2 linked regions of the Astyanax mexicanus genome follow. The protein of the gene in region 1 purifies or fractionates together with the protein of each later gene. This does not show direct contact. Links are inferred from orthologs where the notes say so. Each region holds a gene or a part of one and is shown in the gene's direction. Other genes may lie near its edges.

Region 1 (7,124 bases):
GATATCAGCTGCACTAGCAAAGATTACTCACTTGAGGTACCGTTTTTGTCAGGCCACCAGAGGGCGCTCCCGAGCGAGTCTAAAATGAATGGGGGCTGACAGACAGACAGACAGAGAGACACTTTATTGATCCCAGAGGGAAATTCTGGACATTCAGTAGCAGGTGTACATAGTGCACAGAAGTTTAAAAAAAGAATAAGATATAATTATACGTAAAAATACAATAAAATAGGAAGTATAAAATTGTGTTTTATAATGGACCAATTAAGTAAAATCGTAGTTTATAAATGTTTCATTATTTTTATGCTAACAAAGTACGCATTTTCCTTATTGCATAGAAGTATAGACTTTTAGAAGACTTTTTGACGTGCTAGGGTTAAAAACTCCAGTTAGCTTTTAGCTCACCAACCTGCCAGCAACTAAAGTAGCAGTAATGCTAGCGAAACTGTTGATAGAAAACTGTTTATTGTAGAAAAATATAAACGTACAGGTAAGGTGTCTTTGCTGTTTTTGGAGAACAGTTTGTTATATTTTTTTAATTTAAAGGAATATATTGGAAAAGTAGTTAATTAGTATTTTTAACTTGAGTTTTTAGCCGTTTAGCTCCATTGACTCCCATTCATTAAGGGCTCACTCGCGGGCTCCCTCTATCGGTTAAGAGTCGTTTTCTGATATAAATGGGGGATTATAAGTGGGCAGTCTCGCTAATAAAATCATAAATGCCTTAGTTTCGTGCTTCACGTTTCCGCTCAGTGTCACACTGTCCTCTACTGCTGTCGGCGAGCTGTAGGACAAACCGGCTGAAATCATGGTGTTCGAGGAGAAAATGATCCAGAACGGAGAGCCTGATGAGGTGAGGGATTATAAGATCCGCAGTTTATTAAAGACTGGGTTTTAGTTTGGTTATAGGGGGGTTATTTACTGTAACTGAGGTTGGTTAGGGGCCTGGAGCTCATCTGACGCCTTTCTGAAGCTGCTGAGGTTTACAGTCAGTTCATTCAGCTGATTAAAACTGATTAAACTGTTCTCTGTTGTTACACTGATCTGAATAATTACTAAATACAGCTCTACACAGTCTAATATTAATAATATTATTCTATAATGCAGCTCACAGATATCTTATTTCAGAAATAATTAGCTGTAAACTATATTATTGTCACTTTTAAGCCCATTTTATAATCACTGACACTGACAACTCTTAATATAATAAAAATACCCTTTTAACACCCTTTTAAAAATTAAAATTTCGACTGAATTTACTTTACTTCTAATTATCTTTATCCAAATACAGGTCAAATTAACCCACTATAGCATGTATAATACAGGTGCATTTCCAAAAAAATGAATATCTTAAAAAAAAAATACTTTATTTCAGTAATTGAGTTTAAAATGTGAAACTCATATATTATATAGATGTATTAAACACACAGAGTGATCTATTTTAAGCATGTATTTATTTTATTGTTGATGATTATGGCTTACAGCCAATGAAAACCCAAAAATCTGTGTCTCAAAAAATTAGAATATAATATAAGACCAAGAGTCAGCAGAGAGAAGCATGAAGTGCTGCAAGATTTTGTGCGAATACTCTGTACAGACTTTTGACACAGTGGATCAACACCAGCAGATGACATGCCTCTCCAAACCATCACTGATTGGTGGAAACTTCACACAAGACCTGGCTGGGTAATATTGTTTTAAAAGAAAACACACGTGTCGGAGGACGTTAAGTCCTGACCCTGATTGCAGGAGACTTGAGTTGAGGGGGGAGGGGTGGTTTAATTGGAGGAAAAAAAAAAGTTTTTTGGGGGGAAAAAAGAATAGATGGTTTCACTTAAGTGATATTTCTATTGATAGCAACTGAAAGGTCGTTTTAAAATTTAAATCTGAATATTAAATGCATTACTGTCTTCTCAAATAACTGTGTTTCTGTTTTTTTTTCTCCAAATTATTCCATTTAGGAAGAAGAAGAAGAGGATGAGGAAGAAATGGTGGTATGATAAATAAACACAATTTTACAATTGTTAAAAAAAAGCTTGTCGAGTTCTGGTCTGGAGGGGCCAGAATTCGGTGTACTAAATGATTTTTTTAACCATACATAGTATTTTGGCAGTTGTTGGTAAACAATCAAGCACTGTAGTATGTAATTTATTGTGTGTGTGTGTGTGTGTGTATGTGTGTGTGTGTGTGTGTGTGTGTGTGTGTGTGTGTGTGTGTGTAGGATCCCTTAGAAACAATCAGGCAGAAATGTGAGGAGACGGAGCACTGTGTTCACGCACGGGAGAAGCTAGAGGCTTGTGAAACCAGAGTGGGCTCTCGGTCTGAAACTACAGAGGACTGCACAGAGGAGCTTTTCGACTTCCTGCACGCGCGTGACCACTGTGTGAGTAGGCCGTCTTCCCCATCCCCGTTTAAAAACTCAAAAACAAAGTTCTCCATGTATCACTCCACCACATACAGGTAACATAGTAACGATGCAGCGCTTACAAACCAAAGAGCACTGCTACAAACAGAGCAGCAATGGAACTATTTTAACTGGCGCAGTGTTTATAAGAAAACAGATCATAGTTTCTCATCCTCTTTAATTAAAAAAATAATAATAAACAGTGATAATGGAGCTGTGGTATGATCACCATAATACACTCAAGGTTCATGCTATAACATGTAATATTGGGACAGTGCCAATATTACAAGTTACAGCATTTCCTTTCGTGTATTATTGGTTAATTATACATATTTAGAATGATAAGTCAAATTATGCATATTCAGTCTGAGATCCACAGTAAATCGCCTTTAGAGTGATGAAATACATAAGGCACTCCATCCAGCCACCGTTAATCCATCATGACCTTCATCAAACGTGAAGTATCTACATGCAGTTACAAAAAAGTGGAACTGGTAAAACTTCTTAAACCAAACAGTTTAGATGACAGGAGCACGCTGCAACTCTAGGTAGACTTAATGTAACAAAGTCCCTGTTTTTAGACTAGCAAATTAAAGATATGCTCCATCTTGAGTTGAATGAAAACCTACTACCATGCCCGGTGCTTTGGATCAAATGATCTTGATTTTATGGTGCATTAAACAAATAAAAATGACTGAATAATGACTGACTGTTTTGAGTAATTTGTAAGGACCAGTTCATCCAGCACTTTTAACACGTGCTAATATATGTTTTCTGTCTTCCAGGTGGCCCACAAGGTCTTTCATTCAGTCAAATGAAGACCCTCAGACCCTCTAGATGAACTTCTGCCCGTATCAATATTGAGTTCCACTGTTATTTCCAGTGATGTGATTGCTGAGTTTCTTCAGATCAGCCTACTGTACCTAACAGCTTGTCCAGTGTGTTTATGTTGATGAATTGTGAATACAATATTGTAATGTGTACATCTTTGCAATAAACATTTAAGTATATCAACTTCTTGTTGTCAAATTCCTGGTTAAAGTTATAAAGGCTATAACCTTTCCAAGCCCATAAACTGATTTCTCCATGAAAAGCATAGTTTTAATATTTAAATTTTTAGCCTTAATTGAGGCTGACATAAATGGATATGTTAAAAGATAATTGATGTGATAAAATCATATTTATTATACTGTAAGGCATCAATTTAATGTGATTGTCTTTGTAATGGCAAAAGCAGGACTACATGTCTGCTTGCATCCACAAATAGATTAAAGGTTCGGAAAAAAATGTGTTTTTGTAATTCTGTTTATTAATAGTCATTTTCAATAGTAAGTGAGCTATTTTTTTAAAATGATAATTATATATTTTTTTATTTGTACTTTAGTTACATTTAAAAATCTATCAATTGAGGTTTTGAAGCATGAAAATATTTTAAAATAATTAAACTATTGTTACTATTTAAAAGTCTGTCATTAAAATATTTTTACTAATTTATCAATTAAGTTTTTTTATTATTTGGTCTAAATAAATAAATACATAGTTAATAGTAACAATAAAAAATGTTAATTCTATTTTTTTACGTTTTCAATAACATTTTATAAATATATAATTTTAAAATTAGAATTCAGTTTTCCAGTGTGAAAATAAGGACTTTTTAATTGCAGTTTAAAGTCGTGACTTTTATTTTGAAGTGTTCGTTTGCTTGGTTGTGGAATATTCACAGGCTCAGCTAGTTTAGCTAAGCTAACTATAGAGATATTGGGAGGGAAATGTGTGGATATATTTCTCCTGTTTGTCTCTGATGAACAGATTTTTCTGAGGGTGAAATTAGTGAAATTGTGGAATTTCTGTAGTAACTGTGAGACCCGGGCAGCAGCAGCAGTATGTTATCTACCCTGGTGTCCCTGAGTATCAGAGCAGTAGCTCAGAATATGGACCTGCTGGAGCAGAAAATCCCTGGTAAAATTATCAAATTACACATTAATAATTCACTGATACAGGAGTGCTACACAAAATCTGTTTTAAAAATATGTGATAAATATTGTGGTGTCTTAAAACGGCAACATTAATGTAGAAGCATTTTTAAAAATATATGTATCCTAAAATAATTAACCTAGTTAACCTAACATCTTAAAATAACTTGGTTTTAAACTCAGTTACTAAGTCATTCTTGTGAAATAAGTTACTGTGTCATTATTTAGAGATAAATTATTATTTTTTTTTAAGATATTGCATCCAGATTGTAATTTTGCCTTCTCAATATTTTTTAAATTTTGCCATTTATTTAAGATACAAATCTAAAGTAATTACTTGGTGCCTCAACATAATGACTTAACTTTAGGTCTGTCACAATAACTGTGTTTGTTTTGACCATATACTGTCCCCCCCCCACCCCCCACCCAAAAAAATAAATTAAGATAAACAACATTATTGTAAATAAATAAAAAAACTATTTTAATCTTTTATAATTATTAAGATTAATTACTGGCTATTGAATATTTTAAATCATCATAAATAAATAAAACAAATGTAACAAATAAATATGCTGTTTTTAATGCTAGTTCATTTATATTATATCATTTATAATATTGAGGTCAGCAAAAATTATTGAGGTCGTGTAGGTTACACTTATTCATTTATTAATTATAAATTAATATCATAATTATCTTATGTCCTACTCAACATCCTCAGTACTAGTTATTTATTTTATTTTCTTAAGTCATTATAATGAAAGACTTTTTCATTCTTTTTATATTTTTTTATGTATATATATACATATATATATATATGTATATATATATATATATGAAATAAATTTAAAAGCTTTCTTATTTTGATATACTTTCTCTTTATATGTTTTTTTCATTTTTTTTTTAGACCTGTGTAATACTATTGGCATGACAATGATAATATAATGTACATTTTTTTCTAGATTTGCCAGCTTCACTTCTCAAAGATTTGTTGCCTCACCTGAACATGTTCTACCTGGACAGAATTGAAAAAACTGCACAACTTAAACGTAAGTTACTATAATAGTAACTTCTGTCTGTCTCACTCTTTCTATTATCCATCAGTGTCTGTGTAAAAATGGTAACTGACAAATGATCTGTTGTGATTGTAGGAATTTCTACCTCTCTCCAGATTGTGTGGGCAGATAAATGGAGGGATTTGAATCATACATGGCGTTGCAAGTTAAAGGTTGTGTGTTTTTTCTTTCCTTTTTGCTTTGACTTTTTTATTTTATTTAGTTGACAGGGACAATGCTCATTAATCAACAAAAAAACAACTGTAAATAAGCTGTAAAGGCTGTAGTCTCTGGCCAGCTCTATGCTCTATGCAACTACGCTTTTTAAGGAACCACTAAACCATATATTTCTTTCATTAATAGCTGAAATGTTTTCCTTTAAAGTAATGAAACATACCAATTCTCCTTAATTTTTTTTACAAAAGTGGTCTTGCTTTAGTTGAGGGGGATGTTACTACCACCCCGCATGTTACGTCCAACCATTTGCATCTCGCTGCTCAGCCCAATCAGCTCTCCCTTTTGCCCCGCCCCTAAACCTATACATCACTCAGTGCCCCTCCTAAACTACCACTTATTTTTTTTTATCATTTTTCAAATTGGAGCTGAGGGTGGAGTCAGCTAAAATCAGGGGGTTTAGTTACCCTTTAAATTCTTATATAAATGGTGATGCTGAAGACCTTATAATCAGTGCCATTATTTTATTATTATAAAAAAGTAGTAGAAATATCATCTGTAGTAAATCAAATATAATTTCAGTAAATTCTAAAGCACAAGTACTTCAGTCTTTCATCAGTGTAGCCTGTGCAGAAAATTAGTACCTTAATATTTTTCCATGTTTTTTTTTGTGTGTTATAAAAACACAGATTAAATGGCATTAGGAACTGTGTACATAAAAAATACACACATATAAAAACATATGGTTTGTAAGGGTCCAGATGCCTCCAAGCCCAGAAAAGCTGACACTCACTTCTGGATATGGTTATCATAAGGCCTCTGTTTTATACAGTAAAGTTTTATGTTGCCTTATGTAGACAAAGGTTTACCAAAGGAATCTGTTGCTCATGTGGGTCTATCAGCTTTTACTGAATGATAGTTCTTGATGCAGTGCTGAATTTAGCATCATCACTGTACATAAAACTACATTGTCAGTTGATTCCAGTGTGTGTTTACTAATTCACTGTGGTGTTTTATTGTTTCAGTTCATGCAGCCTGAAGAGAACTGGAAGCAGAAGTGTCTGGAGAGTTTGTTCCACATGGTTCTGTTGAGAAAGGCGGAAGTGCAGAACCTCCTTTCAAATCTGAGTGAACATGCAGTTCTGTCCATGTCAGCCAAACACGTGCAGGTGCTGACGCTCACGCTCGCCGTGCGAGGAGGCTGCCGGCTGGCTTCACCGGACCACCGACCCATTCTGTCCCTTCTGGAGAAGAGCGTGAGGTGTCTCAGGCTGTTTGATGCAGAGGCTCTTCTCCAACATGGAAATGCAGAACTTTTATTCGTTCTCCATCGTCTTATTGACCACGGCTCTGTGACTGAGGTGGTTCTGAAGAAAACTCCTGACTGCTCTCTGTTTAGCTGGATTACTTTCAGATGTAGAGGACCTTATAGGACCAATTCTCAGTCTTCAGCAACTACAGACTCCAGGGGTAGGCACTGCAATAATAACTATATTAAAATAATATTAACTGTAGTAGTAG
Region 2 (7,914 bases), on another chromosome or scaffold:
ACAAATAAGGTAAAAATAAGAATTTAAGAGTAGGAATCATAAAATCATAGGTAAAAAAATAAGCTAATAGAACTAATAAAAATTCAACTACTGATGAATAAATAAAACTTAACACATAAAAGAGTAAAATATAAATAAGCAATAACTAAAAACAATAAAAGAAAAGAAACAAAACAAGCTAGGAAAAAAACAACTAAAACTTACCAAAGATCATAAAAAACTAATTTCCACGGCTATTCTATGCTCCTATCGTTTGCACTGTAAGCCCATTGGAAGCATCAGCCAAAAGTGCTGTATTTCAGAGTGCTGGGGGTGAATGGAGGTGGGTTACTTCAAAAAATGTCATATTTGTTTTTATGTTTTGCTACAACCCAATTCTATTTTACACCAGGGTTCCCCTTTAAAGCTGAATTAGGGTCACTTTGAACAGAGAAACAGTAAAAGTAGTTTTCCACACAGATTCGGTTTAGTCCCAAACTATTACCCTCAGTCCGCAGGGTAAACTCAGCCTGAGACTATGCCTAATCTGCACTATCCTGCAGGACCTGCAGCGTCCTGGTCTCCTGCATGGGTCGGGTCAGAACAGTACAGCAGTTTAAAGGGATATTTCTTCCGATTCTTTTATTAGAGACTCCTGTGACGTGTATCTGATGCCTGGTGAATCGTTGCCAGTTGCTCGCATGTTCTGGACTGATCTATGATTTCTTTTGGATGCCCGACTCATCTGATGGCCTGATGCTGGAGAGACCAGTGCATTATGTAGCCTGACGAAGCAAAAACACCCCCCGGCCTGTTCCGGCAGGCCTACGAGGTTACACAATGTTCCAGATCGATGGTGGATCCAGCAATTTCACCAACATTTGAGTGATTATACTGTATGCAAAGTAAATATGAACAATAAAAAGAAACTATTTACCAAAAACAATTTGTGCTGCTGGTGTCTGAGTGCTGAGTTTGTATTGTTGTTTTTTTGTAATTTGTTTATTCGGTTTTTTAAATGATTGGTTAAACAGCTATGGAGGAACCAAAACTGCCAAAATTAAAGTAAGTAAATCACTCAATAAAAGTAATATGGTGATGTAAAACAGTAAGGAATAATTATGATTAATATAAAAATATATACATATACATACAAATAAAATCTTAATAATTTAAAATATGTTAATAATTTGTTTCTTTATTTTTTTTATTAATTTATTTATTTGCATATTTATTTCTGCATTATTTACAGATTTATTTATTTCTGTTTTTCCTTGTCCTTATATGATAATGAAGGGGGCGTGTTTTTCACGTACAGGTTTAGCAATCAAGAAAGAAAGGAGCTGATATGAGTAGAAGAGTCCAGGAGCTGAAACGTCGGGGAGAAGTTTGTTATCGGATCTGCTCAGAGAGGCAGTAGCTTATGTTGCTCACCTCAAAGAAATAGACCAGAGTCTGTATTACGATCTAAGTGATCTTCATTAAATAATTTTCCACGTTACCAAAGTTACTGCCAAAGGAGCAAAAAATGTACAATCCATCTAGGGTATCTGACATCGATTAACCAATAGGAATGCTAAGACACTGTGACATCATTACTGGACAGACCTCTCATTATCATATAAGGACAAGGAAAAACATAAATAAATAAACCGGGAAATAAATGAATGCAGAAATAAATAGTCATGTTAATAAATAAACAAATGAATCAAAATAAAAAAATATTTTAAATAATTTTAATAAAGACACCCCTAAATAACAATTTATACATAAATAAGATATTTATTTTTATATTATTTATAATTATTCTTTACTATTTTAATCACCGTATTACTTTTATTGAATGATTTACATACGTTTATATTTCTTTATTTATTTTTAATTTTGGCAGTTTTGGTCCTCCATAAACAGCATAGATCTCAGTTAACGCAGTGTTTTAAGTGAAATATATTATAAAAAAAAATAAAAAAAACTACAAGAGTAAAAGGGAAAAAATAAAGAAATAAAAGGCGGGAAATAAGAAAAAAGGTGGAAGAGGAAATAGAAAAACAAAACAAAAACCTTGACATATATATTTAGAGTACAACTTCTTAGCAGAGCCATTCATTGAGCACCTAATAGGAGAAGAGGATTTCTATCTATTTAGTATTAATCGTCTGGCCAGCAAAGTAAGTGCTGAGGTTTATGGGAGTATTAAGATTATTGCTGATTGTATTCTGTGAACATGTGACTGGTTGTTAAGCTGAATTGTATAAATATAAATATATTTTATGTAGTACGTACATGATTGGGGTACTTAAAAAAAGCTACTATTTTTCTACTATTAATATGTGTAATATCTGATACAAAATGTCTGTATATAATGTGTGATATATTGATTTCAAGTATGGACCCAGGCCCACATTTACTACAAAATGTAGTTCTACTTTTAAGGGGACCTATTATATACCATATTTTTACACAAGCTACAATATTGTAGATCTATGTGCTATACAAACATGTTCATTAAGTTTTTTTTAAGGAAAATCACACACACAGTCCCTTTCAGAATAAGCCATTAGGGCTCTGTCACTTTTATGCCAATAAGCTCTTGTTGGCAACACATGTTTACACTGAGCGTTTACCACACCTTAGTGTTAGCTTGTGCTAAATGGCATAACACTGTAATAGAAACAATTCTATAATTCATTATTTGAAAGTTCTTACATCTCCTGACTTGCAGCAGACAGTAGGTACAGATCCCTTCCTCAGACGAAGTCTGCAGGCTAATCCTGCTGTGTACCAGGGCTGGACTGGTAATCTGGTGTACCGGGCAAATGCCCGGTGGGCCGACAGTCCTTAGGGGCTGATGATTTTTTTCTTCGGCCCACAAATTAGAGGGGGTCTCTCTCTCGCTCCCTCGCTCGCCTAATCACGCGCTTTCTCTCTCTTTCTCTTACTGTCTCTCTCTCTCTTTTTCTCGCTCTTTCCCTTTTTTCTCTGTCTCTCGCTCGCTCTCTCTCTCTCTGTCTCTCTTTTTCTCCCTGGCTCTCTTTCTCTCTCGCTCTCTCTCTGATGTAAGTGATTGACACCACTTATATAATTTAATTGTATCAATTTAAAGCTGATATTTTTAAAAAAGAACACTAAAATGCATCCAGTAATAATGATAAAATATTAGTAGTTAAAGTAATGATGTTGTTTTTGTTTTTAATAAAGCGCCACAATCATGCCCATTGTTTGTTTGTTCTACCTAGATCAAAAGATCCTCTCATGATGAGAGTAGAAGTGAACCCTGGTTTCAAGCATTTAATAAAAGAGCTTGAGCCCTGTTACAACATTCCATCCCAAAAAAACAAAACATGACTAGAATAAAGTTAATTTTTATTATGAAGTTGATAATGGTGAGGCTATATAGAATGCCCTATTTGTAGCCTGATACAAGTACATGTTATAGCTGTTTAAAGGAGGAAGCACCTTTAACCTGAAAAAATAGAAATAAAACAAATACATATTAGAGATTATTTCAATAAAAAAGATAAAAAATCAATTGAACTACACAGAGCAGACACAAATGGCGGAGTTAAAATTAGACAATAAACGTGTTATATTTAATATGCTGATGATACATTATGCTTCTCTGTAACCCCACAAACATAAATTACATGTTGGTTGTGCTCCGCAAATTATGAGGGGCCGTTCTAAAGCAAAAATGCCAGGGCCGATTTTTTTGTCCCAGTCCAGCCCTGCTGTGTACTGTCTGAGGTTCTCAACCAGCAGACTGAAGTGGCGTTTCTTCAACTGATCTTGTGGGTGAGGCTCTGGTTAAGCATACATATATACAAAATACGTTTATGCATAACACTATTATATTATATGTGGGTTTTTATCCTTTAATAAATAAGCTGCAATTCTTTTTTTTTTTTTTCAAAAAACCCTTCAGCACAGCAGAGCATTTTAAAGATTTTAAATTCAGTGCTCTGGCTGTAGCATCAGCTCACCAACCAACCAATCAGCTCACAGTATCAGTGATGCAGCACCTTTACTGCCTAAAACCAGTTTACTGTAGAAAAACTGAATAATGTACAGGTAAGTTTTATACGCTTTTTTAGCAAAATCATTTTAATTTGAAAAATATATTTTTCGGAATATCCTGGCCAAATTATTAATTACTATTTTTAATTTGAGTTTTTAGCTGTTTAACTCCATTCACTCCCATTTATTGAGGACTCACTCGCTGGCTCCCTCTAGCGGTTCATAGTTATTTTCTGATATTAATATCAGAATATATGTATATATATATATAACTGATGCTCTCAAACACTTTATTAAGAGGCAAAAAATTCAACTAAGAGTAATTAGCTCTTTACAAGTTCAGCTGAACTGAAAGCCTGAATTTCAAGTGACAAGCTGACTGAAAAAATCCAGCAGAGATGTATAAATCTGACCATCTAAGCAAGAGGTGAAACTTTGAGGTATGTGAAATAAAAAAAACATATTCTGGTTTGTTTACAACAATTTTTCCATTATAATTTGTCTGAGTTTGGTATTAGTCTACAATGCAGAACATGTTGATACTGTATAGTAAACCCTGTTAAAACCAGGGATATTCCGCCAAATATTACTTACTAAACTCTTAAACTTTTTGAATATGAAGTTGTTTTCTTTGCATTATTTGAGGTCTGAAAGCTCTGCATCTTTTTTGTTATTTCAGCCATTTCTCATTTTCTGCAAATAAATGCTCTAAATGACAAAATTCTTATTTGGAATTTGGGAGAAATGTTGTCTGTAGTTTATAGAATAAAACAACAATGTTCATTTTATTCAAACATAAACCTATAAATAGCAAAATCAGAGAAACTGATTCAGAAACTGAAATGGTGGTCTCTTATGTTGCTGCACACAGCTGTATATGGTGACGGTGGCTGTGTGCAGCTGTTACTCCTGTCCAGCAGGTGGGGCTCTGTCTCCCTCCGCTCAGCGCCGGGAACCGCGAGGATCTACAGCACAGCATGTCAGAAGTCTGAGCGCGGCGGCTAAAACCCAGAAAATCCAACTTTACAGAGCCGAACAGAACCAGAACCGAGCCCGCTCCGCCTGATACAGCTCCCCCTGACCCGGTTCTGACCGACCCAGCGCCGCAAACATGAGTTTACTCGCTAAAATCGCAGAAATAGAGAACGAGGTTAGTGAGATTAGCCTGTTAGCATCGGGCCGCTACTCGCCTCCATTCATTTTTACAGCGCTTTATCTTCAATAAACTGATAAATACTCTTATTTTACTGCATTTATACTCACTGAGAAACTGTATTTAGCTGTTTATATTAATGTAGACCTTTTACAGTGCTCCTAATACTGCTAGGAAACACTGGGACCTGTTTAGAGTAAAAATATCTAAAATTAAATACTATAGAAACTATAAACATGAGCATATTACCACAAAATATACATCTAAAATTACGAATATTATGATGTTGTCTATTTAAGTTACTGTTCCAATATTTAAATAATGTTAAACATATGTATTGCAGGTTTAAGAAGCTGTAGTAGCATATATGACTGTAAATTATTGAGTACTGAAATTATTTTTGTAAAGAAAAAAAGTGTTTAACAAACCAGAATATATTTTTTAAAGTGGCACCTCTTGCATAACAGTTTTGCATATCTCAGCTGGATTGTCTCAGTCAGCTTTATGAGGTAGAGTCAACTGGAATTCAGGCTTTTAGTTAACAGCTGTGCTGAACTCATCAAGAGTTAATTACTTGAATTTCTTCTCCTCTTTATAAAGTGTTTGAGAGCATCAGTTGTAAAGTAGTGAAGAGGTATTGTTACAGGTATACAGTGAATAGTGAATATTTGAGTAATGTTCTAATCCAGATTATGAGAAGCAAGAACTACTCAACTAAATAATAAAAAACTCCTTTTAATAGAATAAAACAGTAAACTGTAGGAAAGAAAGTATCCTCAAGTGCAGTTTCTGCAAAGACCATAAAAAACGTTTTATAATGATGGAACTGGCTCTCATCAGGACCGCCCCAAGGAAAGGAAGAGCAATAGCAAGAGCAATCCTGTTGTACAGGATCAGTTCATCAAAATTACCAGCCTCAGAAACTGCAAGTTAGCAAACAGCTTCCAGAAAATAGCACCTAAACGTTTCACAGAGTATTTTGGTTTGTTTAACACTTTTAAGTTACCACATGCTTCCTTATGTGTTCCTTCATAGTCTGGATCACTTCATTATTCATTTACAATGTAGGAAAAACTAAAATAAATAAATAAATAAATTTGGGTGGGTTTCTGATGTTTACTGTTCAGAGTGCTGATATATGACTATTACATTTATAATATAAAGTGCTACAACTGTGTTTTATCTTGTACTACAGATGGCTCGTACTCAAAAAAACAAGGCCACAGCTCATCACCTGGGGCTGCTGAAAGCCCGACTGGCCAAACTCCGGAGAGAGCTCATCACTCCTAAAGGAGGCGGAGGAGGAGGACCTGGAGAAGGTACGAGCAGGGAGGCTTTTCTCTAAAACTGTGGAACTTCATATTATTAAGAAACTAAGATTAAGATTTATTCTAAAAACAGTGTAGAACTTCTAGGGTACACTTGTGATGATGATGATGATTATGTGTCTGTACACTTAGTTTACAGATTTGTATGAAGCAGCTATGAGAATTTTGGTTGTTTAATAATAAAGAATGTACTGAAATGAACATTTTGGATGTTTACATCAAGGTTCATATCAATTTAGTCCCTTTTTTTTACATTTTTATAAATTAAAAAGTTTATAAGTACTTTTGTCTTGCTTTTCAAAGCGAACATGAATACTCTGTAGAAATGACTTCGTCTTTTCTCTTATTGCCCAAAAATTAAAAATAAATCAAATCTAGTGTAGCTGCATATATTGCATATGTTTTTGTTTGCGTTGCATTTGCAAACATGCAAATCGGTAATCCGAATTGTTTAAAAATGATGTGATAGACCCCAATTTCCAATCACATGATCTTATTGGGAACATCCCTACTAGCAGTAATGTTTATATTGCAGTACCCAGACAGTCAGGGTCTCAAGCTCAAATTAATGAAGAAATACAGTTAAGACTAGTACAATAAATATAATATATAATATAATAAATTAAATAAGAAGAATAAGCTATGATAAGCTGAGTTCCTTATTAAAACACTAATTTTTATTTGTTTCAGGTTTTGATGTTGCGAAGACGGGTGATGCGCGTATCGGGTTCGTGGGCTTTCCCTCTGTGGGTAAATCCACGCTGCTGAGTAACCTGGCTGGAGTTTACTCCGAGGTCGCCGCCTACGAGTTCACCACGCTGACCACAGTGCCGGGAGTCATCCGCTACAAAGGAGCCAAAATCCAGGTTCTTACAACAGCTCTTACCTTTAAAACAGGCAAAACTACAGACAAAATCTGACTTCAACATCTGTCTTTATTAGAAGATATACTTTACACCATGTTTATACATAACAAAGTTTTAAACTGTCCGAAACTCCATAATCAAGTCTATTAGAGATCACTGAACACCTCCACACAACATAATGAGAGCCTGCGGTTATTACAGTGCTAACTAATGTGGTATAAAATTTCCATCAAGAGCTAAAATAGCCTTTTGTTTCAGCTGCAGGCACGAAATATGACTTTGCTGCTCAATTTTATTTTGGTTATTCATGATTTGAGAGAAATCATCTTAATTTTTTCAATTTACCTTTATTTTTACTCTGGGATATATTGAGGGTAATCTTAGCTGAGCCAAGTTTACAAACTAAAGGACTGAAAAAATAAGTAAATTAACATCAAAATCAACTTAAGCTAAAATAAGGAACTTAAAAAAAAAAAAACATTAAAAGGTAAAAACAATATAATCTTCAATTAATAAGAAATATAATAAAACAGAATACAAGGATAAGTGCACAGGCTAAAATGTAAAGCAGTAA

The links. The genes of interacting proteins can lie anywhere in the genome.
Region 2: the proteins of lrrc41 (region 1) and drg1 purify together in Homo sapiens (affinity purification with mass spectrometry; 3 studies listed by BioGRID and IntAct, counting the BioPlex papers as one, with this or other methods). This does not show direct contact. The link is inferred for Astyanax mexicanus from reciprocal best matches to the Homo sapiens genes LRRC41 and DRG1.

The regions. Positions count from the first base shown.
Region 1 is NC_064412.1:53,953,948-53,961,071, forward strand, and holds the start of lrrc41 (leucine-rich repeat-containing protein 41), read left to right. Parts: upstream 1-4,111; 5' UTR 4,112-4,287; coding exon 4,288-4,363; intron 4,364-5,336; coding exon 5,337-5,423; intron 5,424-5,525; coding exon 5,526-5,602; intron 5,603-6,628; coding exon 6,629-7,073; intron 7,074-7,124. Other genes in the region: cytochrome b-c1 complex subunit 6, mitochondrial, read left to right, coding at 809-853, 1,962-1,994, 2,222-2,383, 3,190-3,222. UniProt on the Homo sapiens protein: Probable substrate recognition component of an ECS (Elongin BC-CUL2/5-SOCS-box protein) E3 ubiquitin ligase complex which mediates the ubiquitination and subsequent proteasomal degradation of target proteins.
Region 2 is NC_064427.1:20,149,127-20,157,040, forward strand, and holds the start of drg1 (developmentally-regulated GTP-binding protein 1), read left to right. Parts: upstream 1-4,910; 5' UTR 4,911-5,104; coding exon 5,105-5,143; intron 5,144-6,341; coding exon 6,342-6,465; intron 6,466-7,164; coding exon 7,165-7,340; intron 7,341-7,914. UniProt on the Homo sapiens protein: Catalyzes the conversion of GTP to GDP through hydrolysis of the gamma-phosphate bond in GTP. Appears to have an intrinsic GTPase activity that is stimulated by ZC3H15/DFRP1 binding likely by increasing the affinity for the potassium ions.